Diceros bicornis minor: one gene and its partners. The protein of the gene in region 1 interacts with the protein of each later gene in a pairwise test. Links are inferred from orthologs where the notes say so. Each region holds a gene or a part of one and is shown in the gene's direction. Other genes may lie near its edges. The genes, in order: CREB3, SFXN3 and flavin-containing monooxygenase 3.

The links.
Region 2: the proteins of CREB3 (region 1) and SFXN3 interact in a two-hybrid assay, tested with the Homo sapiens proteins (2 studies listed by BioGRID and IntAct). The two-hybrid records come from large-scale screens. The link is inferred for Diceros bicornis minor from reciprocal best matches to the Homo sapiens genes CREB3 and SFXN3.
Region 3: the proteins of CREB3 (region 1) and flavin-containing monooxygenase 3 interact in binary tests that used the Homo sapiens proteins (3 or more experiments, as listed by UniProt). The two-hybrid records come from large-scale screens. The link is inferred for Diceros bicornis minor from reciprocal best matches to the Homo sapiens genes CREB3 and FMO3.

The regions. Positions count from the first base shown.
Region 1 is NC_080767.1:4,151,106-4,161,338, forward strand, and holds CREB3 (cyclic AMP-responsive element-binding protein 3), read left to right. Parts: upstream 1-3,578; 5' UTR 3,579-3,770; coding exon 3,771-3,908; intron 3,909-4,012; coding exon 4,013-4,160; intron 4,161-4,236; coding exon 4,237-4,304; intron 4,305-4,418; coding exon 4,419-4,508; intron 4,509-5,598; coding exon 5,599-5,705; intron 5,706-5,837; coding exon 5,838-5,906; intron 5,907-6,531; coding exon 6,532-6,616; intron 6,617-6,713; coding exon 6,714-6,798; intron 6,799-6,877; coding exon 6,878-7,251; 3' UTR 7,252-7,465; downstream 7,466-10,233. Other genes in the region: GBA2 (non-lysosomal glucosylceramidase), read right to left, coding at 7,660-7,941, 8,214-8,405, 8,505-8,620, 8,700-8,842, 8,978-9,084, 9,199-9,350, 9,452-9,559, 9,759-9,863 and 1 more. UniProt on the Homo sapiens protein: Endoplasmic reticulum (ER)-bound sequence-specific transcription factor that directly binds DNA and activates transcription. Plays a role in the unfolded protein response (UPR), promoting cell survival versus ER stress-induced apoptotic cell death.
Region 2 is NC_080745.1:66,221,150-66,231,382, forward strand, and holds the start of SFXN3 (sideroflexin-3), read left to right. Parts: upstream 1-3,720; 5' UTR 3,721-3,924; intron 3,925-4,288; exon of another isoform or gene 4,289-4,860; intron 4,861-6,104; 5' UTR 6,105-6,107; coding exon 6,108-6,268; intron 6,269-6,924; coding exon 6,925-7,099; intron 7,100-7,452; coding exon of another isoform or gene 7,453-7,456; coding exon 7,457-7,551; intron 7,552-7,922; coding exon 7,923-7,998; intron 7,999-8,161; coding exon 8,162-8,247; intron 8,248-8,518; coding exon 8,519-8,646; intron 8,647-8,801; coding exon 8,802-8,851; intron 8,852-9,764; coding exon 9,765-9,814; intron 9,815-10,233. UniProt on the Homo sapiens protein: Mitochondrial serine transporter that mediates transport of serine into mitochondria, an important step of the one-carbon metabolism pathway.
Region 3 is NC_080743.1:94,802,304-94,812,536, reverse strand, and holds the start of flavin-containing monooxygenase 3, read left to right. Parts: upstream 1-3,902; coding exon 3,903-4,034; intron 4,035-10,233. UniProt on the Homo sapiens protein: Essential hepatic enzyme that catalyzes the oxygenation of a wide variety of nitrogen- and sulfur-containing compounds including drugs as well as dietary compounds.

The DNA.
Region 1 (10,233 bases):
GAAAAGTGTCATTTGAAGTTAGGATTTTAAAAAGTAAAGATAATAAGAAATACTAACAATCTTTTATTGACTATATGTCAATTGCTTTGTATACATAATTTCATTTAATCCTTACAACAACCCTGCAAGGTAGGTGTCATTATCTCCATTTTTACAGATAAGGAAACTGAGGCTCAAAGAAGTTAAACACTTGTTCAAGGTGCTTGTCCAAAGTCACACAGCTAATGAGGTGTGAAGACAGGATCCGAACCCAGGTCTCTCTGACTCCAAAGCCCAAGCTCTCTCCACTAGGCCAGCTGGAGCTGAGTCAGGGGTAGCATTCCAGGCAGAGAGAATAGCATAAGCAAAGGTGGAGAAGCAGGAAATCAATCGTGGAGGAGCATTCAGGGAAGTGAGAGGCAGGCTGGTTGAAGCGCAGCATACCTGCAAGGGAGCAGTGATGGGGAAGTTAAGATGAGGATGGAAAGGCTGGTGAGAACTAGGGAGAGTATGAGGAATGATACCTACTAGGGGGCAACAGGAGGCCAAGGGAGGCTTTCAGCAGAGACGGGACATAACCAGAACCAGATTTTAGGAAAATAACTCTGGCAGTTACCTTGGAGATTAGTTAGAAGGATACTGCATTAGCAGAAGTGAGGGGTAATGAAGCCAGAGTTAGAAGGGTGGAGAGGATGTCACTCATCAGAAATTTTAAGAGGTAGAACTGATAGGAACTGATGACAGTCTGTCCTGTCAACCCTCAGGGACCAGGGCCCAAAGTCAGGCTGGGGTCCCATAGCTTCTTGTCATCAGCAGTCACTCAGTGGCTGGGCAGCTTGAGTTTAGGTCAGGAATTGGGAAGGGGGGAAAGAAAGTATAAGGACAAGCTGGGAATGTGAAGATGAGGCTGTGGTTAGGAGATGTGGTTAGGCTGAGGGAAAAAGGGATGGGGATGTGGTTAGTACCAGGTAGAGGGGCAGAAGGGATGAGGTCAGTGACTGCATTGGGCTGGAAATGGGGAAGATGAGGTGTAGAGAAAGGCTGGGGAAGATGGTAGGAAAAATACATATATGATCAGTCACTAGATCAGGCTGGGGGAAACGGAAGAATAATTATGTGGACAGTGGCTAAGTCAGGGAATGATGCAGTGAGGTCAGAAGCCAGGTCAGGCTACGAGACTGAGAAGAGAGGGAGCTGTGGTCAGTGGCTAAATTAGGATGGGATGGGCAAAGAGTGAAGGGACACCAGCAGTGTCTAAGTAAAGCTGGAGTTGGGGGTGGTGCATGGGGTGCAGCCAGTGGCTGGGTCAGGCTCGGTAGGGGATAGTGCTGTGGTCAGTGGCAGGGTCAGGCTGGGAGTGAAATGGGGGTGTGGTCAGTGGCCTGGCTGGGCGTGGGATCAGCAAGACCCAGTTTCCTCTTTGGGTCTCATTTCCTCTTTTCTGTCAGGGGAGTGGGGGAAGGGGATCTACAAGTGGACCAAGAAATTAAGGCTTAGAATCAGGGATGGAACACAGCAGGCATCGGAAGTACTTGGCAGTTGTGTTGGGCTGGGGCTGGAGTATTCAGCAGATGATCAGGAGGTATTCAGGTAGATGAGCGGGTGAAAATGGTGGGAGAGTGCTTTAAGATGATGGGAAAGCTCAGAGTTGGGCGACAGTAAATTAAGGTAGGATGTGTGCGGATTAAGGGGTGGGAAGAGAGGCAAAACTGAGGCTGGGAACACATGGCAAAATGAAGAACATGAGAGAGTTAAAGACAAGGGAAGCATTCTGTAAGGGGGTATGCAAGAAGGGTGTGAAATGCAGGGCCAGGGAGGAGAGCTGGAGTGGAGAGCTTAACATTGAGAGAATGAGGAGAATGGGAAGCAATGGGGCTGAACTTTCAGAGGATCAGTCATCCCCCGCTCCTGTGGCAACAGTGTTTTCTTGGTCTGCTTCCCCCTTAGTCACCAGTCCCCTTTCCTCTAGGCAGTCCCCTACTCAGGACTAGGCCTTACACATCTCCTGGGTCCCTGTCCCTTTCCCACCTCCTATCTTGTAAACAACATAGTCCACGAACCTCTGCCCCTCAACTGTTGTGGCCACAGCAAGAGCCTTGGGCTTAGAGAGTAGAATAAAGCAGCTGGAGTCCCAGATGCCTGCAATTCTAGCTGAAACCCAGAACCCTAGCCTGAAAATAGTCTGTCATTTCTCTGGGCCAAAGAAGCCCCTGCGACTACACAGAAATGAGAGACCTCCTCGCAAAACAGGGCCTCTACCTACCACTAATCTTAAATTTCACGTGTCCGAGATCCACTATCCTGACCTCAACCACAACCCCTAAAACTGCCCCTAATTCCTAACACTAACCCCAACCCTAATGTGTTTCCTGTTTCCCAGTACTGGCTTTGACATTCACCCCTTTCCTAGCAGACACCTGTATCCAATCCCTGATTTCTAATATTTACCTTTAAATGGTGCTAAAAAGCACCAAAGCCCCTGACCTTAACCCTAAATGTTGACCCCTAGGTCTAAAGCTCATTTGCCACTTGATTCCTGACCCACCTCTTCACTTTTTATCCCTAATACTGACTATGCCAACGTTCTCTTATCCCTAAAACTAGACTTCCAACCTAATTCCTGTTATTGACCTCTAACCTGACCCTGAACCGTAACTTTGACTTATCTTGGCCACCCTAAAAAACAAAATAATGACCGTAATCCAAACTTCACCTACATAAAACGGACCTGACTCACACTAATAACACTAAATTTTAACCCCGGCTTCATACCTCCTAAAACTAACCTTGAGTCCTAAACCGAACTCCACCTAATCCCAAACTCACCCAAAGCTTTCCTATCCACATACCCGCTGATCCTCAAAGCCGATCCCCGCCCTGCGCCTCACTACCACCCCACTCCTCGCCCTCCCCAAAACCTATCCCAGGCCGAGGACTGCTCCCAGGAGGGGGCTGGCTCCCGCAAAACGGCCTACTTAACTCCGAGCCCAAACCGAGATACACTGGCCGCTGACCTCTCCAACAGGACCCGCAGGAGGAGACGCAGGAGGGTCGGGGCCCCGCCCGCCCGCCTCCCGGCCCCATCCTGAGGTTCCGGCTGGGCCCAGTCCGGCCTACCTGCGCTGCCCGGCTCTGTGCCCCGCCCGCCGGCCCGCTACCGGGCTCGCTCGTCCTCCCGGTGGCTCTCGGGCTCCGGCCTCGCCCTCCCTTCGACACTCCGGCGGCCACTTCCGTCCCCGGAGCGTCCCCCACCCGCGGGCGGCGCCCTGTGCCCGCGCTCTATGGTTTCGGGGACTGAAGGAAGCTGCTCTGGCCCCAGCTCTCGATGCTCGGGAACCCTCCGAAGACCCGCAGGCCCTCCCTGGCAGGAAGCAAGGCTGCGGCGCGATCCGGAGAAGACGCCCCAGTTCCCTTTTAGGCTCGAATCCTTCCTTTTTCTAGCTTGGGGCGAAGGCGGAGCCGCATCCCAGAATGCCCGCCCTCAGGCTGTGAGGAAGCAGCAGAATGCCCGCCCCCTCGATTTGCATGGCTCCCGGGACGTGGCGCCACTTCCGCACTAGGGGAACTCCGTGTCCCAGAATGCCTTGGGGGCATGGGCGTCACTTCCGTTGTGTTGGAAGCCGGGGAGACTTGAGTTCAGGAGGCGTGTCCCCTTTGAGAGCGTCGGCTAGCAGCTCCGGGGCAAGCCCGGTTGAAGACGGACTGACGTTAGGGGAGTGTCTTGCATGGGGTTCGGGGTTGGGGCCAGGTGGAGGGGCGAACCCCTGTGTTTCTACGCATCCTTTCCGTAGATGTCCCATATGGAGCTGCCGTCGGACCCGGGTGACCAAGACCTGCTGGACTTCCTGCTAGAGGAAAGCGGAGATTTGGGGGCGGCGATCCACGAGGCCGTGGAGGCTCCGCTAGACTGGGAGCTGCCGCTTTCTGAGGTGGGTACGGGCTCCGAGTCGGGGAGGCGCGGGGCGGGGAGGGGGGCGTCCTTGAGGCAGGGGGTGGTGATAGGTCAAGGCCTGTTAATTTGAACCCTGTGCAGGTACTGAGGGATTGGGAGGCCGAGGATTTCCTGAGCTCTCTGCTGAGTCCCCCAGCGTCGTTGAACGTTCTCAACTCTTCTAACTCCTGTCCTGTCCACCATGATCACACCTACTCTGTACCACAGGAACATATTTCCATAGATCTAGGTGAGTCTGAAGTAAGAGAAGTTTTGGGAGAGGAGAGGACTGATGGGCTTGGCTATTCATATTTTCTCTTTTGCAGATAGCGGGAGCTATGGAAAAGAGGGGGCCCAGATGACTCCATTGCATGTAGAGGAGCCAGCAGAGCAGGTACTTGATTTGATTTACGGAGGAATATTCCCACATTGCATGGGTGGAGGTAGGATTCCCCATTCCTCTCTGATATTGCCTTGCAACTTTGCTGCCACCTCCCTGGAACCCCAGGAGATTGCTAGGCTGATACTGACAGATGAGGAGAAGAGGCTGTTGGAGAAGGAGGGGCTTACTCTGCCTGGGACACTTCCTCTCACTAAGGTAAGACTCCCATTGGTGGAGCAAGGCAGCAAAGGAAGTTGAGCCCCAAGTAGGCCAATTCTGTTAATTTTATATCAGTAACTTGAAAAAGGACTGAGGTGAGAAATTTAGCAAATTCCCTGCTAATAGGAAGCTGGTGCATGTAGTTAATATGCTGGATGCAAGAGCTGCTCCTGGTTTTGTGGGGCTTATAAAAATTTTGGTGTTTTCTTTAAGAAAAAAGAATTCCACATTATCAGTGCAACATTAGTATAGGGCATTGGAAAGGACTGTGCAAGTGAGGGGCCCTGACACATTTCACTGGCTTCGTGGTAATCCACCTCTTGTTGAATGGTAGAATTAAGTTTTAGAGAGTTTATCAAGGCTGGACCAAGCAATATAACAGGAATAAATGTAAAATTCTGAGCTTTAAGTTTCAAGCAACAAATGGCAACTTCACAAGCACAATATTGTGACACTGTGATGAAATCGACATTCACTGACAGAAAGGTTAAGAGAATTTTAATTTCTTAAAAGTACAAGATGAGTCAGCAATGTGATATGGCTACTAAGAAAGTGAATGGGGTTTGGAGGCTGTAATCAATAGAGGTGTTGCCTCTAGAAGGGCAGTGACTATCTCTCTTCTTTATACTGGCCAGAGCACATCTGAGTGTTTAGTTTTGAACCCAGATCTTTGACAGATATTAAACGGATGCAGTCCATACTGATAAGATGACGAGTTAAAAATTTTGCCCAGATTTTTTTTGACTCTGAAGAAATGTCAAGCGCCTTAAAATAGCTCAAGATCATTTGTTCTATATGGCCCCAGAGATTAGGTACTAGGTAAGTCCAAAGGCTAGAAATTAGAGAGGCAGATGTTGGCTCAGGATAAGGAAGGTTTTTTTTTTTTTTAATTAAAATTATTAAAAGGGTCCGGCCTATGAGGGCATTAACACCTGGTCCTTGGAGGCATTCAGACAGAAGCCAAGTGCCTGTTTGTCAGAGAAGCTGTAGAAGGGATTCCTGCACTGGGAAGAAGATTGAACTCAGTTGCATTCCAACTCTTTGGTCCAGTGTTCCTCTGATGATAACTTTTCCTGCCTTCTCTCAGATGGAAGAACAAGTTCTGAAACGAGTACGGAGGAAGATTCGAAACAAAAAGTCTGCTCAGGAGAGCCGCAGGAAGAAGAAGGTGTATGTGGGGGGTTTAGAGAACAGGTATAAACGGGAGAGGGACTCGGTGGTGGGGTATTGGAATTGGAGTTCCAATACCTTCCAAAAGTATTGCAAGTGTTAGGTTTTTGAAGGGAGGATACAGGCCACATCCCCACATCCCTGTTATTCCCCTAGGGTCTTGAAATACACAGCCCAGAATCTGGAGCTACAGAACAGAGTACAGCTCCTGGAGGAACAGAATCTGTAAGCAGCTCTGCAACATCAGTCCCTTCTCATCCCTCCTATTTGGCGCTGTCTCACTTTTTCCTTTGCTCCACACTTGATTTCTAACTGGGCAGCTCCCACATGCAAGGTCTGGTGGTTGGCCCTTACTGGGTCTCTAATTCCAAGCAGCTCACAGTAATGGCGAGTAAATTCACAAGTAACTAATGATAAGTACCAAGAAAGAGAGAGGAGAAAGAGTAAGAAAGACCTCATGGGGCAGATGGTATTTAATAGCAGATAGGATTCTTGTGGGGGTGTTGAGAGTATTCTAGGTAGAGACCACAGCATAGTCCAGTCTGACTGGAACTCTTTAACATGAGTGGAGTCAGAAGGAAGAGAACATAGAATGCCTGGTGAGAATTATGTGCATAGCTGATGGGGCAGTGTAGGAAGTACTGAAGGTATGTGCAAAAGAGTTTTAAGTCACGCCAGAGCAGAGGGATATTTTAATGAGGAACTTCAGGCATTTTGTCCACAGAGAGAAGTCATTTGCAAAAAGTAAGAGAGGATCCAGTGCACAGACGGAGGGAGTGGCCTTAACAGGAGGGTTTCACTGTATCTCAGGGTGCCAGGCCAGGGGCTGCTCACTGCCCTCTTCCCCTAGGTCTCTTCTGGATCAGCTGAGGAGACTCCAGGCCATGATGATTCAGATATCAAACAAAACCAGCAGCAGCAGCACCTGTGTTCTGGTGAGGATGCTGATGGAAGGAGAGATCCTCTTCTCAGGCAGCAGGGACAGGGATGCAATCAAGAGCCCTTCATCACCTCCTGTTTCCTGTACTCCAGGTCCTACTGTTCTCCTTCTGTCTCCTCCTCGTACCTGCTATGTACTCTTCTGACACAAGGGGGAGCCTGCCAGCTGAGCGTGGAGGTGAGAGGCTTGAGGATACCATTAAGGGCGGGCTAGGGGAGAAGCCTGGCTTGCCTCTAAAGAGTCTTTGTCTTCTCAGTGTTGTCCCGCCAGCTTCGTGCCCTCCCCAGTGAGGACCCTCACCAGCTGGAGCCGCCTGCCCTGCAGTCAGAGGCACCAAAGGACAGCTCAGACCACGTGCTCCAAGCTCCTGGCAACTCTTGCTGCCTGTTCTACCACGTGCTTCAGGCTCTTGGCGCAGAGCCTCCCCTGAAGTTGCCACTCCCTGACCCCTTCTCAAAGTCCCCCTGTCCAGGTCCTATCTTTCCTCTGCACACAAATCGCACGGGAGGGGGGATGACTTCCTACTCACAGCCCCACACCTGTCATCTTGCAGGGCCCATACTTAGGCTAGATGTGAGGATGTGGGGGACCTCAGCAAGAGCCTGGGGCCCCCAGTCTGTGTCCAAATAAAAAGGAGTGGGAGAGGGCTAGCCTCAGCTCCTGTGCCCTGTCAGGAAGCCTGAGGGCTCAAACACACCACACTTAACTGGCTTTCTGGGTCTTTTATTTGTACCCATGTATGTCTATCACTCCACGAATGGGCCTGGGGGAATCAACTGACCTCCTTGAACATTTCATGCAGTGAGCGAAAGGAGTGAGGAAAGAAATAAATAAGTGATTCTGATGCCTGGGTCAACCTCAACCCCTCTTTACTGGCGCAGTTGGGTGGGGAGAAGGGAAAGGGATATGATTGTCCTGGTGGCTCAGGGATGCAGGAGACTGGGGAGGGTGCGGGTGGGGGGTGGGGGGCCAGGGGCCAGAGGGAAGGCCAGGTTGGAGAATGGACTGTTAGTGCCTCCCTCCCACAGTTCAGAGAGCTCACTCTAGGCTCAGGTTTGCCATGGCTTCCTTTGGTCCAAATTTAGGCCCTGTGCTTAGTCCTGTACCCTGTTCGGCTTTTGGCCTTGAGGCTTTTTTATGCTGCTGCTGCTGCTGCAGGGCCAGCTGCATGGCCCAGATGCTCAATGGCCGCATGTAGGCCAGCGAGCGGTACACCTGCTGCTGGCAGTATGCCTCAGGAGTTTGGAAGGCCAGGCCCAGGCGCTCCCAGACGGTACGGTAGCAGCCTTCCGCTGTCCGGAAGCCCTCCCAAGTCAGGCCCTGTAGGGAGAGATGGCAGTCATATTACTTGACAACCCCTGACCTCAGGTCAGCTGGAGAGATGGAGACAATAGGATCTCTGCCCTCGGGGAGCTCCTAGCTAGTACAGGGAGAATCCTGAAGGCAGGAGATGGAATGCCGGCCAGGGAAAAGGCCGAGGCTTTCTAGATGGATCAGATGGGATGGGTTAGGCCGTACAGAAGTGTGACAGCTGAGGAAGTTTGCTGGGCCAAGGTATAGATGGTGGAGAGATGGGGAAGGGAGCACATTACCTCCTGGATCATGGTGGCTGCCAGTCCATAGACCACACCCACCCAGACTTCATCAGACTGGACACTGGTTCTATCAGGGACACCATGGGGCTGCATCCCATTCACAGCCCCCATGGCCCCTCCTGCAAAGGCCTGGACATTGAGCTCGAAGATAGTTTGGAGAGCACGGACTACGTGTGGGATAGGAAATACCTAGAAGGGGCAAGGACAGAAACAAGTCTCTTATACTTGCTTCCCACCTCCAAAGAAAACCCACCTTTCTCTCTGGTTCCTCCTTCTAGTCTCTCTCACCTCAGTGTCTCCTTCTCCTAGGCCACAGGCCCTCAGGAACCACTGGCCAGCACACTGGTCAGACATGATGCTACGAGACTGAGGGTGAGAGCTGCAATCATAATTGTAATAGCGGCCTGGAGTAGAGGAAGGGCAAAGTAAGGCTCCTTGCATCCCCATGGCTGCTTTAAGACTCCTCAGGACCCTCCAACTCACCGTTCCACAGCAGTCTCTCATATGCTTCTTGGCCCCGGCTGAGGATGGAAGAAAACCTATCCTGGACGTCCTGTGCCCCACACAGAGCAGCCATCCGGACCATCACAGCCACAGCTGCCAGCCACAGTCCTCCACAGTAAGCACTGATCAGGGACATGGGTTTGGGGGTCATACTGGCAGCTCCGGCCACTCCCATGCAATATAATAAGCCTTGAGCCCACAGTCCCTTGGTGCCCAATTCCCCATCTCAGGTCCCATGGAAATCCCTACCCCCCAACCTGGGGCCTGTGGTGACCCATCCATCATAGGTCTGATCTGCATAGCCTCCATTCTCAATGAGTCCATCTTGGTCCTTGTCAAACTTCATTTCAGACTCCATCACGGCCTAGAGAGGGACCAAGATACTGAAGACTAAGGAAAGACAATAATAGCCAGCTGGGCTCTCCCCAAGCACCAGTCCTGCCCCTGGCACACTGGCCACTGCACATGCACCCCTTACCAGACACACAGGCCACATGTCTCTCAGGAAGCCCTGGTCACCCGTCAGGTGATAATCCCGATAAATCTGCAGCACAAACTTCAAGTTCAGGTCCTTCCAGTCAGCAGTATCATGGATCAAATATGCATTGACCCGGAGCCATGGCTCATCATCTGTGGGAGGGGAGGAGACCTGGTTCATTTGCATTGGTGGGTAGTGTAGAGGGCGCAAAGTTGAGGGAGGGAAGCTGACTCTGAGGTGGAGGGACTTTTACCTGGGTCCCCAATATCATGGGGGATGACGTTCCTCCTTTTCACAGGTGCCATTACTCCACTCATCAGGTACCGTCGCCTTGTCAGGTCCTCTCCAAGAGTGGCCAGAGCTGGGGGAGCAGACACACAAATGAGGGGTGGGCAGGCCTGGAGTGGGGCACAGAGCTGTTTGTGTGACCTCAGAGGGAAACTAGTAAGCAAGATGCAGATATGGTTGGGGGGAAGGGGGAAAGAGACAGTCTGAGGGACCACAAACATTCAGCGGTATGGGGAGCTAAGAGGACAGAAGGGCACAAAAGGGACCCTCACCCATGTCATACTGCAGGCTGAGCTCGAGTTTGGGCCAGAGCATGATGAGGGCAAAGGAAGCGTAAAAGTGGACATCATATGTGTTGTACATGCGATATTCCTGGCCTGGAGGAATGAGGGAGACACATTGTTGACAGGATTCCTGTTTCCTGTTCATACTCTCCTCCTTAGCTTGTCCTTTAGAGTTGGGGGTGGGGCACTGTCACCACTCCACCTGCCACTAACCCCCTCATCCCAACCAGCACCCGGGGGTAGGCAAAACCCATCATCCTGCCTTGTGGTAGGGCACTAACTCGCCTCATGATACGGCCTGCCAAACCTCAGCCCACCAGCAGCCTGTACCTTCAAGGTAGCCAAATCGGCCGTACTCTCGTAGGATGGGGTGAAGGTGACACATGCTCCCTGCTAGCTCCTCTGGTAGGGAGTCCTCAGGAACTTCCAGCCACACTGTGCCTCCATCGGCCAGGAAGTATAG
Region 2 (10,233 bases), on another chromosome or scaffold:
ATATCTTGCCCAGACATTCAGAAAGCCGGCTCCTAGGCCTCAGTCCCTCCTGACTCAGATACCACTTTCTCAGAGAAGCCTTCCTAGAACGCTACCTAAGAAAGTCCCTTCCCCCTCCTCCCACATCATCTCTGTTAGAGTGGTTCTCAAAGTGTGGTCCCCAGACCAACAGCATCAGCAGCACCTGGAAACATACTAAAATGTGAATTCTCAGGCTTTACCAAAGACCCACTGAGTCAGAAGTTCTGGGTGGAGGACCCAGCAATCTGTCTTTAACAAGCCCCCCAGGCAATTCTGATGTATTCTAAAGTCTGAGAACCACTACTCTATCATATCATCCAAATTAGTACCTTCAAGATTCTTACCATCCTTGCTCATTATTTGCTTATTCATATTATTATTTAGTATCTGTCTCCTTTCACTAGACTGGAAGCTCAGTCAGGGTAGGGACTTTGGAATTCCTTTCCACCAACATATCCCCAGTATATTGCACAGTGCTTAATATTTGCTAAGTATTTTTTGAATAAATAAAAGAACAAATGGATGAATGAATGAATAAACAAGGAGCTAGGAGAGTGAGGAGAAAGGGCTGGTTCGGATTAAAGATAATGCATTTTCTCTGGGACCAGTTGAGTTTGAGGAGCTGGTGGGACCTCATGGGGGTGATGTGGGTGGCAGTCTTCCCCTTCCCACTGTGTCTCCTTTTCAGTTACTTTCAGCCTCTGGAATGGTCTCAATAATAACATAGGAGAGGGGTTGCAGGCTGCAGTGAGTTGGGAGATGTTTGTAATCAGGCAGAGGGGAGGATTCAGAGGCTCCCAGCCCAGACAGGCTAGGGGCCAGCTGGTCAGAACAATGCCCCAGTACTTCCATTGCTAGAAGATGCTGCTCCCCTGGCTGCACCAGGGCACTAGAGTGAGGCAGAGGGACAGAGCAATCATGGAACTTCTGGAAGAGGATCTTTAGAGGGACAGTGGACATAGCCCTTGCACCATAGCCAGCACAGTGCCTGTGGGTGTGTGAGGTGAGGTAGAGCATAGTTCTTTGAATACAATGGGACTCATAGGGGCAGGGCTGCAGGGTCTTCCCCCTCCCCTCCATGTCTCCTAGCTCCTCTGGGGACTTCTGCTCCATGACCAGAATGACAGTGGTGACCCTCAGCAGCGCCCTGCTGCTCACCTGAGGGTGAGGCCAAGCATGGTGGATGATGAGGGTGAGCACGCTGGGCCACCAGGTGCAGGAAAGTCTGCTCCCTGAGCAACATGCTCCACCCCTGCCCCAGTGGCCCGGGTAGGGGAACAGAGATGCCCAGCTGGGTCAGAGGGGAGGAGCAGGGTCTGAAAATTCCAGTCTAGGATCCAGCCAGGGAAGCTCTGCTGGCTGAGAGAGAGAAGGGGAGCTGGAGATATTTATCTGGTCCTGCTCACAGAAAGCCAAGGCCCAGGGGGCCCCCGCTCCCCCAGTGGCATTCAAGGTCTTGCCTTGCTCACCGGCTCTTTGTCGCCTCACATCTGTCACTATAGCCAAGCTGTCTCCTAAGTGCCCCGCCCGCCCCCCCCCCACCGTGCTCCGTGCTTTCCACCTCCAACCTTTGTCTGCGACACCTCCACCCCACCACCAGCTGTTATTGTTCTGTCTCTAAGCCCTGCTACACTGTAAACTTCTGGAAGGTGAAGATTGAGCCTTATTTCTCTCTAGGTCCCCTGTAGGACCTAACTAGCGCTGGCATAAAATAGCTGTGCAATGAAACAGCATTAAGCAACTGCATAAGATTAGGTGTCCCCCTCCTTCAGGGCCCAGCCATGGGGCTCCCTCCCTGACCCTCTACCCTCCTCTTCTCCTCCCTCATTTGCTGCTCTACCTCTATTTCCTTCCTTCTGCACCTGAAGCCTTTAATTCTCTCTGCCTAACTGGGCACTGACACCTCACAGCCCAGCACAGAGCTGGTCACACAGTGGGCTGCTTGATGGAGGATGTCCTTCTCCATCCTGCCCCACCCCCAAAGGCATCCACAAATGGGTTTGGAGAAAGGCAGAGTCCATGGGAGGGAGGGGCCAATTCAATATCCTGCCTTGCTCACTTGGGGGCTAGCATACCACACATACCTCCCTCCATGCCCCTATCTCCCACCTCTGACCTCTCTATGATCCTGGAACTCTAAAGGATTAGCCTGAAAGTGCGAAAAGGATAGATGAGGAAGAGAGTATGGGTCTCCAGGCGCCCCCCATCCCTATGACTCCCATCTCTTGAGTTCCCCCACTCATATTGGCTCTGCCTCCTCCTACTTGGCACCCGCTGTCCCCTACCCACCCCCTCAGCTCCCAGGACCATGGCAGGGCCCCGCTCCCACCTTCGATGGGGGAGTTGATGAGGATGACTCTGCCCATGGGCGATGAGGCTCGGATTCCACGGGGGGGCCCATTAAGCAGCCGCCGCTTCTTCCTCAGCAGGTATCGCGTTGCGGAGCCCGAGTCGCTGCCCAGGTGGCCTCGGGAGGAGAGGGAGCTCAGAGAGCCAGAGCTTAGGTCTCCGAGGCCCAGGGGGTCGAAGCCTACTGCAAAACCGCGCGCCATGGTGGCTAGACTGGGATGGCGCCCTACAGGTCCAGAAGGAACCTGCTAGCTCTCAAGAGGAAGGCCCGGCGTGCTCCGAGCTCCATGAGCCTTCTGTGCGGCACTGGGGTCTCAGTGACCCGAAGCCCTCCACCTCCGCTGCCTCTTGGGAGTGTGTGCTCCAGGCCTGCGCAGGGAGAGCAAGGATTGGGGGAGGGGTGTGAAGGCTGCCCCCCAGAATTTTCACCCTTCCCCCTAGTTTGAGCATCCTGACCTCCCATGCCTTAGGCCCCTCACCTCTCCCATCCTTGGCCAGAGAAACCCCCAATCCAGGCACCATCGTGGACTTTTGGAGCTATTTATACAACAAAGCAGGTGGGAACCTCTCATTCACCTCTCCTTCCTGCTCTCAGCTGAGTCATCTACTCCCGTCCCTGGGCCTCAGTAGAGGTTGAGAGAGTGGAGATGGGATAACTGAGGGCCCTAGGGCTTCAAGCGGTGTGAGAGAAAGTGGGGCCAGGAGAGTTCACTGCACCACCTCTCCTGTGTATGTGGGTAGGGGGCCAGCTCCTGGGGCGCGGGACTCAAGGGCAGGGCTTCAGGGCCTGGGACAGCTGTAGCCAAGGCCCCCAGAGATTCCCAGGGCCCCAGAGATTCCCTGGCCCCCAGAGGTCCCCAGGCCCCAGGCTGCTGTCCCCTTCGTCCCTCTTCCTCTCCTATCTAAAAAGGTTGCGTGAATCTCTCCCAGGCTTGCGGGTGAGGACCTGCTGACGAAAGCCCCACGACATCCATCGTAAAACCTGGGGCCAAATACCCCAGAGCAGCTCTGGGACCCAGAATGCAGCATCCTACCCCCGGCTCCGTCCTCCCGGCCCCCACCTCTCAAGCTCGGTCCCCCTCACCTGCTCGCGTGTGCGGCAGCCGCCGGCCTCGCCCGCCCGCGGGCGCGAGTGACTGCAGAAGCCTGGGAACCCCGCCCACGCTCCGCCGAGGCTGCAGGAACAGGGCTGGCCTGCGCAGCCCCGGGCTCCCATTGGCTGGGAAGGCCGCCAGTCACTCTCTCCTGCCACCTCCCTTGGGCGCCCAGGACAGCTGTTTGTCACCTAGGCTGCGGCAGCTGAGTTATATCCGCTACAGTTCGAGTTCTGATGCCCCACCCTGCCCCGCGAACTCAGCGCAGGGAAAGCCCAGAACCCCGTCTTCTCCAGGCCAAGGCAGCTCCCAGGGCTCATGGAATTGCCACACCTCCGCGGTCACCCCTGAGGCCTCAGTGAGGGAGTGTCACCTGGGCAGAGCGGGCCTGAGCCTGCGGTGGGCAGGAGCGTGGACTGGGGTCTGGGTGTGCAGCAGCTGTGCTCTGTACGGTGACTGGGTGAGTTGTGAGTGTTTGTGTGGCTGAGCTTTGCCTTCTTCACATGCATCCCCCTTCTATGTCAGAAAGTGTGTGGACAGCCAGTCCTGGAAAGGACGCAGGGCGGGGCAGTTGGTCCCAGAACACTAGGGGGCGGAAGATTCTTTCTGATTCACTTGCTGGAGCCTTCTGTCCCTTCACATCGCAGGGCAAGGACTGGGGCTAGGGTCTGTGGTGCAGAGGTAGGGATTGGAAGCACAAGGAAACTGGGGACCCAGAGGAGCTAGGGGTTTCAGAGGCGAGTAAGGAGGGGCCTGGGGAGGAGGAAAGGGCTGGGGACATAGAAGGGGCACAAGCAAGAGGAAACGGGACTGTGAAGGGGTGCGAACGCCGAGGTGCTGCGAGAGGAGCTTGTGGGAACCGGGATAGGCGCCCAGGGGGCCAAGTAGGCGGAGGCCACTGCCAAGGTAGCCGTCAAGTAAACAAGCCGGGAAGTAACTCGAGTCCCTCCGAGCGCACCACCAGAGCGATAGCCTCTCCACGCCGCCCGCCTTCGCCCTGGATACCTAGACCCCTTGCTGCAGAGGCCGGGTGCCTCCCGAGGCCAGCCAGGGGACTGCAAGCAAAGCGGGCAGCACCCGCGGCTCCTCCCCTCCTCTCTCCCGCTGGGAATCCGGCCAGAACTGATCCCTGAGCCCCTATTGGCTCTGGGAGGCAGCGTGAGGCTGAGTCCCAGTAGCCGGGGCTGGGGGCGTCGCCCCAAACGACACCCGCCGCCCCCGGACTCTGCCAATCCGGGGCACACCGGGCGGACGTGCCAGGGGAGCCCCCGCCCCTCCTGCTGGTTAGCGTCACGCGTGACGTTACGCGTGATGGGTTGGAGGGCGGGGGTGATGCGCGAAGAAGAAGGCAGATCTGAGAGCTGCAGAGGCCGGGAGCCCAGGAGCCCAGGAGCGCGTGAGTCCTGCTGCCCCGGGCGGGTTCGGGCGGGTTCGGGGGTCAGGGGAGTAGGGAGTTGAGGGCTGGGAGTCGGAGAGGGAGGCCTGCCTTGAAGGGTGCTCTCTGTCCTGTCCCATTCAGCATCTTTGGCTCTAAGGAGGTTCAAGGGACATAAGAGGAAGTTGGTAGCGGGGAGGAATGTCAGGGTGGGGCTCTGAGTGGTCACACATTCAAGCGTCTGCATCTGATGGATATGGGCTGTGTGTGTGTGTTTGTGCGTGCAAGTAAGTCTTTGTGGGCCACTGTATGCAGGGCGTGTCCACCCTGTTTGTATGTCTATGTAGGGCTGTGTGATGGTGTCTTTGTGTGTGGGTATGTGATTGTGAGTGTGTGAGAGAAGGGAGGGTGTGTCTGCCTGTGAGGGAGGAAGTGTGGTTGGAGAGGATTAGTCATTCTGTAGGATTTTGCCCAGTGCAGCCAGATGGCTGCTCCAGGCTCTCTGTGCTGGCTGGAGGGGGCACTTACTGAATCCTGCTCCTTTCTGGAAGCAGGTAGCTCAGGGAGAGGTAGATGAGTGTCTGTGCCAGCCCTGCCCAGCTGGGGAACAAGGAGAGCCTTGAGCCTTCAGTGGGGGTTGAGGAAGGTGGGTCTTGTGCATGCCCATGAACACACACACACACACACACACTCTCACACGGCTGGCATCAGAGTCCCCTGTTTGAGATCTGGAATAGATAAGCCCTAGAGAGGCCAATGAGATCTTGCTCTCCTCCAATCAGGGGCTGGGGTGTGGGATGGCGTATACTATCTTCCCAGACAGCCTTAGGGGTTTGTATCTAGGTCTCAAGGCAGCTGGGGCCTAAAGCTGACAGGAACAGAGATGTGTGATGCATATAGAATGCATTTTTGTGCATACAGAGCACAAGAGTAACTGCATAGGATTAGGTGCTGCTCATGCATCGACGACACACATATAAATCCTCACTCATGAAAATCTGCACCAGGCCACAGCATAAGATGATCTATTTTTGTGGTTCTGTTCTCCTCGCCCCCTCCCCCAGTGGCTACAGATGCCTGGGCCAAGACAATGCCTAGAAAACAGCTCCTCCCCCAACCCTTGCTTACCTATCTGGAGTCACTTTGAGCTCTAGAAGGGATTGGCAATAGGCCCAGGGACCAGGGCAGGGCCACCAAATTCTCCCCCAAGTGGAGCCCTTGGACCCCCTCCTTGGAGTCCTCTCACTCTGGTCCCTGCTCTGCAGAAAATGGGTGAATTGCCCTTAGATATCAACATCCAAGAACCTCGCTGGGACCAAAGCACATTCCTGGGCAGAGCCCGGCACTTCTTCACTGTTACCGACCCCCGAAATCTGCTGCTGTCTGGGGCACAGCTGGAAGCTTCCCGGAACATTGTGCAGAACTACAGGTGACTCCCTACCCCATCTGACCCTGTACCCCACGGTCTCATTCCCTGCCATTAATACAGTACCTTTTGTACCTGCCTCCCCAAGCTTGAGAGTGAGCCTGTCCTACTCATCAGTCCCCTCACTCCCTGGCCCTGTCTGCTGGAATCACAGATAGCTGTGGCACAGAGTTTTAACCCAAAGGATTTTAGGGTGTGGCATTGATAGTTATGGGGGGGGCGCTGCTCTGTGCCTCACAGACCCTCTATAGAGACCTATCCCATTGCTGGGCCACCCTCTGCAAGGACAGAGGGGCTCAAAATTGAGTCTCAACAAGGTAGGAGGCCATCCCCTTTGTCTCCAGGAGGAAAAACCCTTGCAATGCCCTCAGCCATTTTTGACCCATTGGAAACCACCAGTACCCATGACGCAGCACTTAGGCAGAAACAGAAGGGCACCCCTCTTTGTGTGGCTAGAAGGGAAATAGAAATAGGGCCCCCCCCCACACTTTCTGGGAAGCTTTGACTCTCCCCCAGAGACAAGGAGCCCCTTTATTCTAAGATTGGGGGCCAGAGTGCCTGGTCCTCTGCCCAGACTTCCCCTGAGCTGAGTGGGCAGGGCTTGGGAGGGCAGATCTGCCCTCTAGAATTGCCTGTCTGCTCCCTGCCAAACTCTGCAGGGCCGGCGTGGTGACTCCAGGGCTCACCGAGGACAAGCTGTGGAGGGCCAAGTATGTGTATGACTCTGCCTTCCATCCGGACACGGGGGAGAAGGTGGTCCTGATTGGCCGCATGTCAGCTCAGGTGCCCATGAACATGACCATCACTGGCTGCATGCTCACCTTCTACAGGCAGGTCCTGTCCCGGTGTCCCCTCCCTGAGCGCTCTGTCTTAGCCCGAGTGTGGCTTGATGACTAGGTGCTTCCTTTCTGGGCCAGTTTGGGCAAAAAATAGTGAGTGGGTGAGATCTTGTGTCAGAATCCCTTCCATTCCTCAGAACTCAGCCCTGGGGGGTCCTCCCAACCCAGAGACAGTGGCTGTGTTTGTGTAAGTGAGGAGGGTCATGCAGGGGTCACCAGAGCAGGTTCTTGGGTCATTGACTGGGTCCCTCCTGAGTGTTTGGGATTAACCTTTGGGGTTTCATTATCTGGGTCCAAGGATGAGGGACATTGTAGAGGAGGCAGAAGTAAGTGTCCTTGTTCCCTCAGGAAGACCCCAACTGTGGTGTTCTGGCAGTGGGTGAATCAGTCCTTCAATGCTGTTGTTAACTACTCCAACCGCAGTGGCGACGCTCCCATCACTGTGAGGTGAGAGCCCGTCCCCAGGGACGCTTCTCCCCTCCTTGCCCAGCACTGCTCTCTCCCTTTTGCTCCTGTTCTCAGAGGGCCCGTGCAGCCAGTGGCTCAGCGCCCTCCTCTCAGCCTGCCCCCCTTCCCCACTTTCCTGGCCTAACTGAGGGCATGGGTTCCTCTCGTGTGTCCTTTGGGGACTCACTCTTCTTCAAGGGGAGGGATTGGGGCTTCCAGACAAGTCTACACTGGAGCCTGGGAGGTATTTCTCTGCAATAAGGCCACCCTCCCACGCCTCATGTGTTGAGGATTTGGCATGTCCCTGAAAGAAAGAACCACATACTGAACTGTTCACCTCTCCCCTTGTGTCCTGCCTCTTCCACCCACAGGCAGCTGGGAACAGCTTATGTGAGTGCCACCACTGGGGCTGTGGCCACGGCCCTGGGACTCAAATCCCTCACAAAGGTAAATGCCCCCCCCCTTCCACTGCAACCCCATTCACCCTTTATCCACCTCCTTCTTCCCCATCACCCCACCACCTGACCTATAGCCTCCCCACATGTCTCCTCAGAGTTCCCCACCACCCCATAGCCCTTAGGGCCGCTAAATGACCTCTTTCCTCCCCCAGCACCTGCCCCCGCTGGTCAGCAGATTTGTGCCCTTTGCAGCTGTGGCAGCTGCCAACTGCATCAACATCCCTCTGATGAGGCAGAGGTGAGTGGCCCCGACTCCTGGCGTGTGTGTGCCCAGGGTGCATCTGGGCACACCATCCAGCCATGTAGACCAGCCCAGAGTGGGGACAGTCCTCTCCCTCCCCGGACATGAGCTGCTGGCCCAGTCTCAGTCTGATGCTAGGATCCTGGAGTGGGGAGAACCAGCCTTTGGATCTAGGCTGTCTGAGAGAACCCCAATAGCTGCCCATGAGGGCATTGCAGGGGTGGGGTTTGGGGCCTGTGATCTGACCCCTACTCCCTTCGCTTCCCAGGGAGCTGCAGGTGGGCATCCCGGTCACTGATGAGGCGGGTCAGAGGCTTGGCCACTCGGTGGCCGCAGCTAAGCGGGGAATCTTCCAGGTGGTGGTATCAAGAATCTGCATGGCGATTCCAGCCATGGGTGAGGCGGGGGTGGCGGGGTGGGGCACGGGAGGCTCTGAGAGAAGGGAGGTGCGGTTCTCTAAGGCGGGCCATAAGACCGTGGGGGGATTCTCCCTTCCTTTGGGTCCCAACTTTCACTCCACTGCCTCCCTCCCTGCCCTGCTCTCCCCTCAGCCATTCCCCCCGTGATCATGGATGCTCTGGAGAAGAAAGACTTCCTGAAGGTAGGTCACTCACCTCTCCCATCCTGGAAGTGGTAGTGGCTGGGAGCAGAAGTGACCAGTGCCTAGCCCTCTCTCCAGCCTGACCTGAGTCTAAGACTTGCCACCTGTTTGCCCCACCCTGGCGCTGCCCCCTCCACCTTCATTCATTCAGCAAGAATGAATTAGGCTGGAGTGAAGGAACACTGAGGGAGCAGGAGAAGAGGATAAGGGAAGGAGAAAAATGATTTCTGTCCTGAAGGAAACTGGTGTCACTGCAGACGCCTCTGACACACACAGGGATGGACTATCACAGTCACACCTGATATGACATTCATGCTGTCACCCACTAACAACAGCGAGACAGACACACAGACACAGACACACAGGCTCACACATGCACAAACAGGACAGGGAAGCAAGGCACAGGAACACAAGCCCTGGCTCACTCATTCAATCATTTATTCACAAACATTTATTGAGCACCAGCTGCGCACACTGGAGAAACAGAATGGTGGTCCCTGTGACTGAAGTGAATCAAGAAGGGTGTACGGAGCAGGACATGTGTTTGGAAAGGGACAGATTCGTGCCAGTGGGGCAGGAGGAAGTGAGTGGAGGGTTAGACGAGGCTTCCTGAAGAAAGCCGCTCCTGGAGGAAGTGAGGGAAGAGAAAGGGGCAGGGAGTGCTATGGGAACCAATTCTGAGAGGCGAGAATGGGTGAGGGGACACTAGGGAGGGTGTCAGCAAACAGGCCTGGCTGGAGTGGAGGATGGTGATCTGGAGGTCCCAACCCTGTCCTGGGCTTGGGAGAAAGAAAAGGGCCGTGTATCAGAGGCTCAAAGGCAGGGCTGTGGTATAGAGCCATGGTGGGTACAGTGGGGTGGGGGTTAGGGGGCAGGGGACACATGCCATTCCATTGTCTCTGTCTCCCCACAGCGCCGCCCCTGGCTGGGGGCGCCCCTGCAGGTGGGACTGGTGGGCTTCTGGTAAGTGTGCAGGGAGTTAGGAGGGTGTGTGGGAGTGCCCTTTCCATGGTGGACGTGGGTGGTTATTACTGCTTTTAAGATGTTTGTATACACATTCATTCATACATTCGGCTGGTAGGGGTCTTGGATACCTGCAGAGAATACTGGGTGTGTTAGGGTGATCCCTGTCCTTGAAGGTCAAGAGTCTAGTTGAAGGGGTTCCAGACTTCATCTACAAGAGGAAACCATGGAAAAATCTTTTGGTACCATCCAGAAGTTTCATGCACATTTAATTCCTGATTCTGTCACTCGCTGGCGATGGAGCTCCAGGTCACTGTTCTGGAAGCTCTTTCCTCAGCCAGAACCTAATGTCAGTTGGCTTTAATCAATCTCCACACCTAAGGGCTGTCTCCAGAGATGGGGTGGGGTACAGGGAGGGA
Region 3 (10,233 bases), on another chromosome or scaffold:
TTACATAATGATCAAGGGAACAATCCAACAAGAGGATATAACACTTGTAAATATCTACGCACCCAATGTAGGTGCACCTGAATATATAAAGCAATTATTAACAGACATAAAAACAGAAATAGACAGTAACACAATAATAGTAGGGGACTTTAACACTCCACTTACACCAACGGATAGATCATCCAAACAGAAGATCAATAAGGAAACATTGGCCTTAAAGGACAGACTAGAACAGATGGACCTAGTAGATATATACAGAGCATTCCATCCAAAAACCGAAGAATACACGTTCTTTTCAAATGCACATGGAACATTCTCCAGGATTGATCACGTATTAGGCCACAAAACAAGTCTCCATAAATTTAAGAAGATGGATATAATACCAAGCATCTTTTCTGATCACAACAGTATGAAACTAGAAATCAACTATAGGAAGAAAATCAGAAAAGCCACAAATACATGGAGATTAAACAAAATGCTACTGAACAACGACTGGGTTAACGAAGAAATCAAAGAAGAAATCAAAAAATACCTGGAGACAAATGAAAATGAAAATAGGACATGCCAGAATTTATGGGATACAGCAAAAGCGGTTCTAAGAGGGAAGTATATAGCGATACAGGCCTATCTCAACAAACAAGAAAAATCTCAAATAAACAATCTAACAATGCACCTAAAGGAATTGGAAAAAGAAGAACAAACAAAGACCAAAATCAGTAGAAGAAGGGAAATAATAAAAATCAGAGCAGAAATAAATGAAATAGAGACCAAAAAACAATAGAAAAAATTAATAAAACCAAGAGCTGGTTCTTTGAAAAGATCAACAAAATTGACAAACCTTTAGCTAGACTCACCAAGAAAAAAAGAGAGAAGGCACAAATAAATAAAATCAGAAATGAAAGAGGAGAAGTTACAACAGACACCTCAGAAATACAAAAGATTATAAGAGAATACTATGAAAAGCTATATGCCAACCAACTCGACAATTTGGAAGAAATGGATAAATTCTTAGAATCATACAACCTTCCAAAACTGGATCAAGAAGAAGTAGAGAATTTGAATAGACCAATCACCAGTAAGGAGATCGAAACAGTAATCACAAACCTCCCCAAAAATAAAAGTCCAGGACCAGACGGCTTCCCTGGTGAATTCTACCCAACATTCAAAGAAGACTTAATACCTATCCTTCTCAAACTCTTCCAAAAAATTGAGGAGGGGGGAAATCTCCCTAACTCATTCTACGAAGCTGACATTACCCTGATACCAAAACCGGACAAGGACAACACAAAAAAAGAAAATTACAGGCCAATATCACTGATGAACATCGATGCGAAAATCCTCAACAAAATACTAGCAAATCGCATACAACAATATGTTAAAAAGATTATACACCATGATCAAGTGGGATTTATTCCAGGTATGCAGGGATGGTTTAACATTTGCAAATCAATCAACGTAATACACCACATTAATAAAATGAAGAATAAAAATCACATGATCATCTCAATAGATGCAGAGAAAGCATTTGACAAGATACAGCATCCATTTATGATAAAAACTCTGAATAAAATGGGTATAGAAGGAAGTACCTCAACATAATAAAGACCATATATGACAAACCCACAGCTAATATCATCCTCAATGGTGAAAAACTGAAAGCTATCCCTCTAAGAACAGGAACCAGACAAGGATGCCCACTGTCACCACTCCTATTTAACATAGTACTGGAAGTCCTAGCCAGAGCAATCAGGCAAGAGAAAGAAATAAAAGGGATCCAAATTGGAAAGGAAGAAGTAAATCTGTCACTATTTGCAGATGACATGATTTTATATCTAGAAAACCCTAAAGAATCCACCAGAAAACTTTTAGAAGTAATAAACAAATATGGTAAAGTTGCAGGATACAAAATCAACATACAAAAATCAGTTGCATTTCTGTACACTAACAACGAAGTAGCAGAAAGAGAAATTAAGAATACCATCCCATTTACAATTGCAACAAAAAGAATAAAATACCTAGGAATAAACTTAACAAAGAGGTGAAAGATCTGTACACCGAAAACTATAAAACATTTCTGAAAGAAATTGAAGAAGACACAAAGAAATGGAAAGATAGTCCGTGCTCTTGGATTGGAAGAATTAACATAGTTAAGATGTCCATACTTCCTAAAGCCATCTATAGATTCAATGCAATCCCTATCAAAGTTCCAACAACATTTTTCACAGAAATAGAACAAAGAATCCTAAAATTTATATGGAACAACAAAAGACCCCGAATAGCTAAAGGAATCCTGAGAAAAAAGAACAAAGCTGGAGGTATCACACTCCCTGATTTCAAAATATACTACAAAGCTATAGTAACCAAAACAGCATGGTACTGGCACAAAAACAGACACACAGATCAATGGAATAGAATCGAAGGCCCAGAAATAAACCCACACATCTATGGACAGCTAATCTTTGACAAAGGAGCCAAGAACATACAATGGGGAAAAGAAAGTCTCTTTCAAATGGTGTTGGGAAAACTGGATAGCCACATGCAAAAAAAATGAAAGTAGACCCTTACCTTACACCATACACAAAAGTTAACTCCAAGTGGATTAAAGACTTGAATTAAGACCTGAAACTATGAAACTTCTAGAAGAAAACATAGGCAGTACGCTCTGCGACATCGGTCTTAGCAACATCTTTTCAAACACCATGTCTGACCGGGCAAGAGAAACAATAGAAAAAATAAACAAATGGGACTATATCAAACTAAAAAGCTTCTGCACAGCAAAGGAAACCATCAACAAAACGAAAAGACAACCTAACAATTGGGAGAAGATATTTGCAAACCATACATCTGATAAGGGCTTAATCTCCAAAATATATAAAGAACTTATGCATCTCAACAACAACAAAACTACCAACCCAATTAAAAAATGGGCAAAAGACATGAACAGACATTTCTCCAAAGAAGATATACAGATGGCCAACAGACACATGAAAAGATGTTAAAAATCACTAACTATCAGGGAAATGCAAATCAAAACTACAATGAGATATCACCTCACGCCCGCCAGAATGGCTATAATTAACAAGACAGGAAACAACATGTGTTGGAGAGGATGTGGAGAGAAGGGAACTCTCATACACTGCTGGTGGGAGTGCAAACTGGTGCAGCCACTATGGAAAACAGTATGGAGATTCCTCAAAAAATCAAGGATAGAACTACCATGTGATCCAGCTATTCCACTGTTGGGTATTTATCCAAAGAACTTGAAAACACCAATTTGTAAAGGTACATGCACCCCTATGTTCATTGCAGCGTTATTCACAATAGCCAAGACTTGGAAGCAACCTAAGTGCCCATCAAGGGACGAATGGATAAAGAAGCTGTGGTATATATACACAATGGAATACTACTCAGCCATAAGAAACGATGAAATCCAGCCATTTGTGACAACATGGATGGACATTGAGGGTATAATGCAAAGTTAAATAAGTCAGAGGGAGAAGGTCAAATACCGTATGATTTCCTTCATTAAGTAGTAGATAATAACAACAATAAACAAACACATAGGGACAGAGATTGGATTGGTGATTACCCGAGGGGAATAGGGGAGGGAGGAGGGTGAAAGGGATAATTCGGTACATGTGTGTGGTGATGGACTATAATTAGTATTTTGGTGGTGAACATGATGTAATCTATGCAGAAATAGAAGTATAATGATGTACACCTGAAATTTTTACAATGTTATAAACCAACGTTACTGCAATAAACAAAAAATTTAAAAAAAAATATTGCCTTCTTGGTGCAAAAATAAAGTTTCTTATTATTCCAAAGAGTGATATAAAAAAACACAGGTTTTCAGCAATACTGCTGCTGGAAATGTTCTCTGGGTGTTTGCACAGGTGACCATGGGGAAGAGAGTGGCCATCATCGGAGCTGGTGTCAGTGGCTTGGCCTCCATCAGATGCTGTCTGGAAGAGGGGCTGGAGCCAACCTGCTTTGAGAGGAGCGAAGACGTTGGGGGCCTGTGGAAATTCTCGGTGAGTGGGATGTCACTGCAACAGACTGGAAAGTGAGGCGGGAAGTGGTGAGAACACATTGTCTAAGCACAGGCTTCCAAACCAGCTGTCATGGCGGTTAGAATCCCTCCTAGGTTTGGAATCTATGAAGCACAACATCAGAAGCAGGGTGGAAAGTTGTCCCTTACTTACTTCAGACGTAAATGAGATGGTATGCTAGCCTTGAAGGTGTCTGTGTACATTATTCACCCTTGATAAATCATTAATATGTGAATCACTCTGCGATAAAACCCACCTTGAAATACTGCTTAGGTTTATGTAAAATATAATTGCTTGAGTTACACATTTAAAAAACAATGGCTGGGGCCAGCCGGGTGGCGCAAGTGGTTAAGTGCGTGCGCTCCGCTGCGGCAGCCCGGGGTTCGCCGGTTTGGATCACGGCCGCGCACCGACGCACCGCTTGGCAACCCATGCTGTGGCGGCCTCCCATATAAAGTGGAAGAAGATGGGCACGGATGTTAGCCCAGGGCCAGTCTTCCTTGGCAAAAAAAGGAGGATTGGCAGATGTTAGCACGGGGCTGATCTCCTCACACAAAAAAATAAATAAATAAAAATAAAAAATAAAAAACAATGGCTTTTTCCATTCTTTTGTTGATGTTACTAGAGGTCCTCTTAGTGACTCAGACCACAGATGTTAAGGTTTCAGGTGCTGATTTTGGTCTTGCAAAAACCACATAATTAATGAGACAACTACAGAAGGAATCAAGAATAGGACACACTGATCTGAAGCTCTTCAATGCCCTTTTGTCTCTATCATAACAAAGATGATAGTTATAAGCAGACATAAATACGATAATAATAACAATGATAGATATAAGCAAATATGCTTACATGCACCAATTAAATCACTTCCAATGTTGCCTGACAACCACATCAGCATAGGTAGGGGCTGCCCTGTGCCCTCTACTCCATCATGTCTCCAACCTTAGAAACACTATTTGGCAAAGCCTAGCCCATCTGTCTTCTTCTTCTTCTGATAAACTATTAATATATATGCAAATTTAGGAAGATCGATAGTCCTTTTTAAGCCACTATTTCCTCCTCAAATGCAAAATTAGTATTATATTTTATACCTCAATAAAAAGGTTGTATTTAGGGATACAGTGTCTATGACAGCTCTTTAAACATTACAAAGATATATGAATTTTGTTAATATAAATATTTTCTAGACTGTTGAGAACCCTTGAAACCACCCAGCATCTTGTATAATGTCATGGAGCCTAGTATATGTTACGGTAATATGCTGACAAAGCTTCAAATCAGCATATTGATAACTCTTGGGACTATTTTATTGAGCACTTCCTGTATGCCAAACACCTTTTCCCATTTAATTCAATCTTTATAATAATCCTATAAGCCAGGTATGCTGTTTTCCTTTTTACAAATGAATCTGAAGCTTAAAAAGAAAATTAAAACTCACACATCTATGGACAGCTAATTTTCGACAAAGGAGCCAAGAACATACAATGCAGGAAGGAAAGTCTCTTCAACAAATCGTGTTGGGAAAACTGGACAGTCACATGCAAAAGAATGAAAGTAGACCATTATCTTACACCATACACAAAAATAAACTCAAAATGGATTAAAGACTTGAAGGTAAGACCTGAAACCATGAAACTTCTAGAAGAAAACATAGGAAGCACGCTCTTCGACATTGGTGTCAGCAACATATTTGCAAGCACTATGTCTGACCAGGCAAGAGAAACAATAGAAAAAATAAACAAATGGGACTACATCAAACTAAAAAACTTATGCACAGCAAAGGAAACCATCAACAGAACAAAAAGGCAACCTAACAATTGGGAGAAGATATTTGCAAACCATATATCTGATAAGGGGTTAATCTCCAAAATATATAAAGAACTCATACATCTCAACAACAAAAAAAACCAACAAGGGGCCAGCCCGGTGGCGCAAGCGGTTAAGTGCACACGCTCCGCTGCGGCGGCCTGGTTCGCCAGTTTGGATCCCGGGTGCACACCAATGCACCGCTTGTCAAGCCATGCTGTGGCAGCGTCCCATATAAAGTAGAGGAAGATGGGGATGGATGTTAGCCCAGGTCCAGTCTTCCTCAGCAAAAAGAGGAGGATTGGCGGATGTTAGCTCAGGGCTAATCTTCCTCACACACACACACAAAAAAAAACCAACAACCTAATTGAAAAATGTGCAAAAGACCTGAACAGACATTTTTCCAAAGAAGATATACAGATGGCCAACAGACACATGAAAAGATGTTCAACATCATTAACTATCAGGGAAATGCAAATCAAAACTACAATGAGATATCACCTCACGCCCATCAGAATGGCTATAATTAACAAGACAGGAAACAACACCCGTCGGAGAGGATGTGGAGAGAAGGGAACTCTCATACACTGCTGGTAGGAGTGCAAACTGGTGCAGCCACTATGGAAAACAGTATGGAGAGTCCTGAAAAAATTAAGGATAGAACTACCATATGATCCAGCTATTCCACTGCTGGGTATTTATCCAAAGAACAAGCAAACACCAATGCGTAAAGATACATGCACCCCTGTGTTCATTGCAGCGTTAGTCACAATAGCCAAGACTTGGAAGTAACCTAAGTGCCCATCAAGGAACGAATGGATGAAGAAGATGTGGTATATATACACAATGGAATACCACTCAGCCATAAGAAACGATGAAATCCAGCCATGTGTGACAACATGGATGGAGCTTGAGGGTATTATGCAAAGTGAAATAAGTCAGAGGGAGAAGGTCAAATACCGTATGATTTCCTTCATTAAGTAGTAGATAATAACAACAATAAACAAACACATAGAGACAGAGATTGGATTGGTGGTTACCAGAGGGGAAGGGGGGAGGGAGGAGGGCGAAAGGGATGATTAGGCACATGTGTGTGGTGATGGACTATAATTAGTATTTTGGTGGTGAACATGATGTAATCTATGCAGAAATAGAAGTATAATGATGTACACCTGAAATTTGTGTAATGTTACAAACCAATGTTACTGCAATTAAAAAAAAATAATAACTAAGGTAAAAAAACATAAAAATAAAAGAAAATTTAAAAATGGTAAATGCTGAAGACAAGATCCCAATTCAAGCAGGCCTTTCTCTCCAGCCTGAATTCTTAACCCCTTTGTTAACTGCTGGGTGCCATTTCAACAAGTGGCCTATTGAGCTGGCCAGCTCTTCTACACAGTGATCTTAACCAAATCCTCATATTCAAACTGACTTTGCAAAACATTACTGAATATAGACACTGCTAATATGGCTTTTGAGAGCAGCTGCTCTCTTGCTGGTCAAGGAATACTTTCAAATTTGAACCTGGCATCATAGATCGATAAACCACTCAGCCGCAAACATGTGCTACCCTTGGAGAAAAAGAGAGAAGAGCCCAGAGCAGGGAACCTCAAGCCCAGAGGCTGGAGCCTTGAGCCACAGAGGGCTATTCCCAGGTCGTGACACCTAATGAAGTTTACCCTGCTGGATTTCAACATTGCGTGAGACTGGTAGCTCCTTTCTTCCTTCCATTTTTTCCCTTTTGGAATGGGAATATCTGTAACTGGTACCATATGCCTGTCGCATCACTGTATTTTGGAAGAAGATAATTTGCTTTCTAGTTTCACGGGTTCACAGATGGAGAGGACTTTTCTCCCAGGATGGATCATACCCAGAGTCTCATCCATACCTGATTTAGATAATTTAGATGATGAGCTGTGGGACTTTTGAGCTGAGGATGTATAGATGAGATTCAGGACTTGATTTGATGCTGCAATGGATTTAGACTTTGAAATGTTAGGATGGGGTGAATGTATTTTGCAGGTGGGATAGACGTGAATCTTTAGGGGCCAGACAATGGACTGTAGTAGGATAAACAATTGAACAATGCATTCCCAATAAAGATATCAGGTCTTAATCCCTGAGACCTGTAAATGTTACCTAAAAAGGAAAAAAGGATATTTGCAAATATGATCAAGTTAAGAATCTTGAGATGGTGAAATCATCCTGGATTATCTAGTGGTCTTAAAATGCCATCACATATATCCTTATAAGAGAAAGGCAGAGGGAGATTTGACAGAAGCAGAAGAGAAAAGGCGATGTGATCACCTCAGCAAAAAGAGAGAGAGATTGGAAGATGCTATGCTGTGGCCTTAAAGATGGAGGAAGGGGCCATTAGCCAAGGAATACAGGTGGCCTCTAGATGCTGAAAAAGTCAAAGAATGCTGGCATCCACCAGAAGCTGGAAGAGGGAAGGAACGGATGCTCCCCTAGAACCTCTGGAATGAATATGGCCCTGTCGACACCTTAATTTCAGCCCAGTGATACTGATGTGATTGTAATATTCTAATATTATACTAAAAATGTATATTCTGGGGGCCTTGACAACTTTGAGTTATATGAGCCCTAATTAGAAATTTCCAGTGCTCAGTGCTTTCCATTATGAAGTAGCAAGTATATGTAGAAATCCACAGTTTGACCCTTCTACAGAGAGAAAACCATTTTAGGTGGAAATGATGCTAATTTCTTTAAGGAAAAAAATGGTTTTCTTTAGACCACCATTTGAGGTTTTATGGACTCTTTAAAATTGAAAATGTTATCTTAAAATTAGATTAATGTTTTCTTGGCTTTTCTTTTTTTTTTTTTTTTGTGAGGGAGATCAGCCCTGAGCTAACATCCATGCTAATCCTCCTCTTTTTTGCTGAGGAAGGCCGGCTCTGAGCTAACATCTATTGCCAATCCTCCTCCTTTTTTTTCTTTTTCCCCAAAGCCCCAGTAGATAGCTGTATGTCATAGTTGCACATCCTTCTAGTTGCTGCATATGGGACGCAGCCTCAGCATGGCCGGAGAAGCGGTGCGTCGGTGTGCGCCCGGGATATGAACCCCGGCCGCCAGCAGCAGAGCGCGTGCACTTAACCGCTATCCTTGGCTTTTCTTTTCTTAAGGATCCTGGTTACTTTTGACCAGATGGTACCTTAGTAACCACAGCATCTTGCACTTTGGTCTGTCACTAGTTGATACTCAACAAATCCTGTACTTTGACAAGATGAAACATGCCTTATTTTCAAGTGCCCATGGAACATTTCTAAAACTGATTTTTTAACCAAAAATCCTCAATAATCTTGAAAAAATATATATAAATAAGATGAAATTCTCTGCTAACAATACAATAAAATAGAATGTTGTAACAAATTGAAGAAGGGAAACACTGCCACCACGAAATTTTAAACTTTTCTCTTAATGACCTATTAATTAATGTTCTAGAAGTTTGAGCCAAATCAATAAGACAAGCAACTGACAGTAAAAAAAAGAGAAAAAAGGAAAAGAGGAAAAATGATCATATGCTTACTATATGGTTTTATACCAAGAAAATCCAAGGACATCAATTGGAAAATTGTTGCAAATAATAGGAATACAATGAAGTGAATGATCACAAAATTACTAGATAAAAATCCACAGTGTTTACATATTTTAGAGTTAGCAAACTGGTTCTTTTTATACTATAGATGATCTATTTTATTTGACCTATACAGTTCTTAAAATTTCGATCCAATATTTTAAAATCAAAATATTTCATGTAAAATTCTAGAGATCTGTTTTCTTTGGAAAAATCAGAAGATCAGGCAACAGTGGATCTCTTCATACTCATAGTAATAACTGGCCCCTTTTAGACTGAATTTGAATTCTCTGTTTCACCATATTCATTTTTGGCTCACTTCACTCATTTCTTATAACTTTTTCTGCATCTGTAGAGTTTGTTTTGACCAATGCTATGTGCAAACAATCCCTTAGACTATGTGGAACAAAAGACATACCCACTTGCAAAATTTTCCATCTCTCCTTCCTTACACAGTTTTATCATCCTTTTTGTTTAAATAAACCTTGTAACCATGTAACCTATAACCATGTAAATATTGTTCATTGCTGAGCCACCTAGTGGATTCAGATTACATTTTCTTCCTTGAACAATTTTTTGTTTTCACTGGAGTTAACAATTGCCTTGTATCCTTGTTTGTTTAGTTTTGTAAATACTATCTCTAACTTATCCCCCAAGTTCTCCCACAGAATTATGATTCTCTTCTCAATATGTTTAAGCTCATTAGGTGTTCCATCAGCTTAATTCTTCTCTTGACTATCTCTTAAAGATATTCTTCTGGAATGTCCTTCTCTTCTC